2 linked regions of the Kluyveromyces lactis genome follow. The protein of the gene in region 1 purifies or fractionates together with the protein of each later gene. This does not show direct contact. Links are inferred from orthologs where the notes say so. Each region holds a gene or a part of one and is shown on either strand. Other genes may lie near its edges.

Evidence for each region. Proteins that work in one complex are often made in the same cells at the same time.
Region 2: the proteins of RPS20 (region 1) and BRE5 purify together in Saccharomyces cerevisiae (affinity purification with mass spectrometry; 3 studies listed by BioGRID). This does not show direct contact. The link is inferred for Kluyveromyces lactis from reciprocal best matches to the Saccharomyces cerevisiae genes RPS20 and BRE5.

The regions. Positions count from the first base shown.
Region 1 is NC_006042.1:2,371,220-2,373,723, forward strand, and holds RPS20 (40S ribosomal protein uS10), read left to right. Parts: upstream 1-1,500; coding exon 1,501-1,854; downstream 1,855-2,504. Other genes in the region: KLLA0_F25520g (URC4/urg3 family protein), read right to left, coding at 1-936. UniProt on the Saccharomyces cerevisiae protein: Component of the ribosome, a large ribonucleoprotein complex responsible for the synthesis of proteins in the cell.
Region 2 is NC_006039.1:1,666,677-1,670,116, forward strand, and holds BRE5 (Bre5p), read right to left. Parts: upstream 2,120-3,440; coding exon 638-2,119; downstream 1-637. Other genes in the region: OCA4 (Oca4p), read right to left, coding at 1-225; CCR4-NOT core DEDD family RNase subunit POP2, read right to left, coding at 2,971-3,440. UniProt on the Saccharomyces cerevisiae protein: Has a role in de-ubiquitination. In conjunction with UBP3, cleaves ubiquitin, leading to the subsequent mono-ubiquitination of sec23.

The DNA of each region.
Region 1 (2,504 bases):
CTCTGGTAGACCTGTTTGCAAGTCCTTGGAAGATATATTGAACTTGTAGCCAAATTCCTCTAGTGGTCTCAATAATGAATAACATAACCACTGCGTCAATTTATGAAATGACACGATAATTTCATCGTTTTCGGTTTTATACACCCAGCAATCGCCTAAAGGTTCACCGTTCAGAGTTAATCTTCCAGTAGGCCATATAGAGGTATATCCAGTCATTAGAACCTCCCACAACTGTTGCAAATCAATGTTTTCAGAGCCATTTAATTTGTAAAGGTGATCAATTATATTACCAGGCCTGGCATCTTCACCGAATAACTCAGGTCTTTCAGAAAGGGATTTCCCTAAACTTCTGATCAACTGAATTCTACCTTCGTAACCTTGCAAAGAGTTCTTACTACTTATCTGAAACCCTTTATCAAAATCTTGTTGACTGAAGTCTTTCAATCTAGAACCTTGTACTGTCTGAGATTTATCATGCGATAAGGCACCATCTTTGAACATATAGAAAGAGGCCACCGCTAGTCCTTCTGATCTGTTAATCTTAGTTTCTTTCTCAACAAAAGACCATTCTGAACCTGCACCAGCATCGACAATCACACTAAACGTTATCAAATCAATCAACCGTCTGCATACCTCCAAAGGATCGATGTTCTGGGCAGCCCAGGAATTAATGAGAGATCCCATTCTATCAATACCGTTACAGTTTAAATGTTGCCATCTTCCATGAACAGGAATATCGCCTAGGTTCTTGTAATCTCTTTCAATAATATTGACCAAGTAATCTGTCACTTTCGACATTTTACCCAGATCCACTTCAAAATGTGTACTGTCACCATTTTCTGTTTGCAAAGGGGGGCCGTATACTTTCTTACAAGTTTCCCTAACGGATTGAATGGATCTTAAGTACTCCAAGTCTTCGCATTCTGTGTGTGTCATGATAAATAGCCAGTATGTTGGTTTTTGACAGTTTCAACGGGAGATAATATACAATGCCATCAGAATTAGTTTAAGCGAAGTATCAACTGGGATAGAACTATTTCATTCACTAATGAGTGTATTTATATACTTCGTGGATGGTACACATACATTATCCTTAATTCAATCCTAAGTGTATTGGAACGTTAGTTTGCACAAAAAAGGCATTCTTATCTTTTGCAATTGACCTGTTTCGTTATTCTGGCAACGATTGATCCTTAATGTTCAAGAATCTCCGTCGCACCTCCGACGGATATTACCGGGGACTGCTCATTCTTTATACACCCGTACATATATGCCATGGGATTCTACTTTTTTGATATAATCATCCTCTCTTTCCTAAAACAGAATACTATATGAAAATTTCATGATGTTCTATGATGTCGACAAGCTAGTGCTCCGAAGTTGAAATTCTAAGCTCTCCAAGATAGATGAGCATTAGCATGGTATTGTTAAGGTTACTTACAATTAGATATTAAGTCTATTCATGTCATAAGAAACCAATAAAACTAAAAGGTATACACGATGTCTCAAGTTGAAAAGAAATCTGAACAACAACAAGAAGTTGTGATCCACAAGATCAGAATTAACTTGACCTCCACTAAGGTCAAGCAATTGGAAAACGTTTCTGCCAACATCATCAAGAATGCTGAAACTTTCAAGTTGGTCAAGAAGGGTCCAGTCAGATTACCTACTAAGGTCTTGAAGATCTCCACCAGAAAGACCCCTAACGGTGAAGGTTCTAAGACTTGGGATACTTACGAAATGAGAATCCACAAGAGATACATCGACTTGGAAGCTCCAGCTCACATCGTCAAGAGAATCACCCAAATCACCATTGAACCTGGTGTGGATGTCGAAGTCATCATCGCTGCCTAAACGCACCGATAATGATGTATTGTCAATATCAAATTGGCATTCAATGAATAACGGGCAGGAAACTAAAGTGTTGACCAGATTTACTGCACATCCTTTGAGTTTTCTACCGACATACCTTGAATTCAAATTTTTTTATTTTACTTTTATTCGATATCCAGGTCTCAAGAAAGCTCTTGTATCCTCATTCTCTAAGATTATAGTAAGACTCCTATAAAGTATGGTCAATTGTGTTCAATATAGGATGGAACCTTTTTCTGACACTTCAAAAAATGACAACCCACTCTAGGTAGGGTAGTTTATCGTGTACCTCTATTCTACTATCAGTGGTTAAAAAATAATCATATCCTCTACCAACATCTCACTCATATTTGTTTGGTTACTGTCTGGTTTATTGGTTGCTTGAATGAGTAACTTTTTTGTTGTCATGTGTTAGTGCCCTCCATCCTTTGTGTATAATTCGTACATATTTTTTTAATGGAATATGATTTTAATCATGGGACTTCAAAGCAAGGCATTCAAGCTGACAACTCGAAGCAGAGACTTCTGCAAATGGCCTTTCTTCCACATCACTTTGTAACCCTAATTCATGTAAGAATTTCATGAACGCCAGTTTGGATGTGTTTTTTTTTTTCTTTTCGAATTTTTTTTTT
Region 2 (3,440 bases), on another chromosome or scaffold:
TGGGGCTACCAAAGAACTCGAATCACCAGAGGTCTTAATGACAAAGTAATCTATGCCGTTAGTGGCGAAGAACTCTTTGAAGAAATTACTCGGGATTTGACCACCGATGAATATGATCGTATTTAAATTCAAAGTCTCCAAAAATGATAGGTTAATGGTCTCAAGTTTACTGCATCGATAGATACCTTCCTCGGGAATCCCGAAATTCGCTGGAGGAACTAACATAGCTGATGGTTTCTATGACCCTAGAGTTGTATCTCCTCACCTGTCCCCTTGGCTTCAGCACTGATCTTTCTGCCAATCACCTTTTCTATCATTGTGATGTGCACATGAAGATCTTTGTTCCTTTAAATTTCATCAAGCTCGAACCAACTTCAAAGGGTTGTGACTTAGAGAAAGAAGGAACAAAAAGGGAAGACAACAATAATGTTTCGGTGATATGCTTATAGTGAGAGGGAAATATATAAAATGTACATGTGGATAGGTTACATACGGATATATTTAACAAGTTTTCCCCGACTCATAGTTTCATCGTTTTAGTTAATTTTTTTTATGGTTTTTTTTTTTATAATATGGTTTTATCACGCCTTTCATTTAGGTTTGAGATGATTTGGGTTTACGATTAAAGTACATGAGATTAGTTCTTTGATTTGTCATTACGGGATTTCACTGAGCTCTTTTTAAGCGTGGAATTACCTTGGTTTAACGAGAGTTCTGGTGATGGGGAATTATGTGAACTGTTGCCGTTTGTGTTGTGATTAGTGTTACCAGAATTACTATTACTATTGTTGCTGTTGTTCTTGGCTTTGTACTTAGAAGCTTTATCGCCCTTTGGGTTTAAATTAATAACTCTTTCACCGACTTTTAAATGTTGAGCATCGATGGCAGCGTCTCTTGCAGGTTTTTCTCTGAAATCAACCACAGCGAACGAATCTTGGAATGAGGTTTTTACGACATCACCGTATTCTTTTATTAGAGCTCTTTCAAGTTCGGATGCGGTCAACCCATTTGTGTTACCCACGTATACTGGGTAGAAACCGCTGCTGTTTTGGATGATAACGTCGCCTATTGGTTTCGATTGCTGCTTGCTTTTCTTGTTTGACTTGGTGAATCCGTTTGGAGGTGGACTTTTAGACTTCTTTTGTGGAAGATCTACCTTGATGTAGTTTGTAGTTAGTTTAGATGTCTTGTTGAGTTTGCCTGCCCAAGTCATTTTCACTGGTTCAGCCTTTGGGGTGACTTCTGTTTCAGGAACCTCTTGTGGGGGCACCGATTCAGAACGGGTTGTCGTTGAGGTTGGGGTGGCTGATGCTGAAGTCGCTTGCTCTTTTGGTTGTGCTTGTGCTTCGTCTTCCTTGTCTTCTTTTTCTTTTTCTGCAATAGCAGCAGGAGCAGTAGCTGGCGCAATCGCCTCATTTTCCTTAGGTTTAGTTTTATTTACTGAAACGGCTTGGGGTTGTTCCACTTTTGTTTCCGTTGGAGCAGTAGAGGGCTGTTGCTTCTCAGTTGGAATTGGCTTGACAATCTCAACCGGTTTCGCTGCTGCCTTTACCACTACTGGAGAAACAGATACAGGAACAGAAACAGGAGCTGCGTCCCCGTTGACATTTGGCTTCTCATTCTCAGCTTCAACAACAACAGCAGATGGTGGTGATACTGGCTGGTCTGGGTTCACTAATGGAGCAAGGTCAGGAATGAAACGAATGATATCGTTTTTCAAATCGTAGACTTTACTGTTATACTCTGCTGGTTCCAGGATAAAGCACTGACAAAATCTGTAAGATGGTGAATCCGTCCAGCATAGCTCCCCTAATATCAATATCAGAATCGAAGAACTCTCGTACCCAGTAGATTGCACATCACACGAATCAATCTTGACCTTCAAATCCTGTACACGCTTGCTGTTTCTGGTAAAGAAATTGTTGATGTTATCCTTACCAATCAACTTGACGGTGTTTAAATAATCTTTGTCATGCTTGATAGGTTCATTATAATTCACATGGGTCAATTCCGCCGTGGTAGAATATAAACACGACAATTTCGATGGATCATTATGCATACGTTCATAGTACGTCCTTAGGAACGCATATCCGATCTCTTTCACATCGTAAGTGGTCATATTTTCCAAACCAAATGTGATTGTATCAAATTAATCTAAACAGGAAAAAACACACTGGTTCTTGTAAAAGAATTCAACTATTCTTTGATAACTCTCAATTTCAAACCGATCGCGGGTATCAAAAAATCAAATTGGAATGCTAAAGTGTATGAAATGAATGCAATACAGTCAATCGTTGTCAATCAGAAAGACCTTTGAATGAATTAAAAATAAAACTGTCAAACAAAAAAAAAAAAAAGAAGGGAAAAGCACGCTCTAATAACGCTCTAACAACGTTTTAATCCAAGTGTATTAACGGTGGATATTCAAGCAGGAAAGTATAGGGTATACTAGAATACAATAACAAAAAAGTATTAATTTCCTATGGGTGCTTTTTTCCAGACTCACGGGAAATTTCAGCACTACGAACACCGTATATGTGCCTCACGCTTCAAACTTATCGCTAAAGATTAAAGTCTGGTTTCTAATGAATGCATGAAAACCGATAAGCGAACCAAATAGACACCCTAACAACAAGAAACGCCCCTCACAAGCAAAGTATGTGCATGTTTGCATCTAGTGATTATATGTAAAGAGTCAATTTTCAAAATTTTTTAATGGAAAACTCGTCAATCATCTTATGAAATCATGCCTCACGAGATGCCAGGTGAATGAAGTACACAGGTTGCGCTCTTGCAACCTGTGGGTTTCGCACTGGTCAGCATCAGTTCAGTTCAGTGACGGTGGCTAGTCAGCCACCTTTTATACCCTATTTTAAGAATGATTGTGTATGTATATATATATATTCACATACATAAATGCATTATTGATGATACTCTATATGAAAGGCTGGCACATAAAAATCACATATATTACTCCTGTGTGATTCCGTAGATCAGGTTCTTGTAGTAACTGAAATCTGTTCCATTGCGTAGTTTGTACAAAGACAATTTACCGAGTTGGGTGTATGCCAATAGTGCCAAGAGACTTTGTCCCGCTGCGCTGCTGAACAATGGGAAGATCGGAATCCCCAACTCGTCAGCCAGTAGTTCTAGTGTATATTGCTGTTGTTGGTTTTGTTGCTGTTGCTGTTGACTTTGTAATAGATGTAATGGTGGTGGATGTGGGTGTTGTTGCGTTACCTCATGAACTAACTTGTTAATTAGGTTCAAATCGTACGACGTTGGTATGTATTTCTGAACCCACCATTCGAAGTCCTCTTTGTTGTTGGGCATGTTTGTGTTCATGAGCCTGTTGATTAAGAACCCGTAATCGTATGCTGCATGGTAACTGATCCACGTGACCTCATCGTTCAACAATAACCCGGAATCCATCATCAACT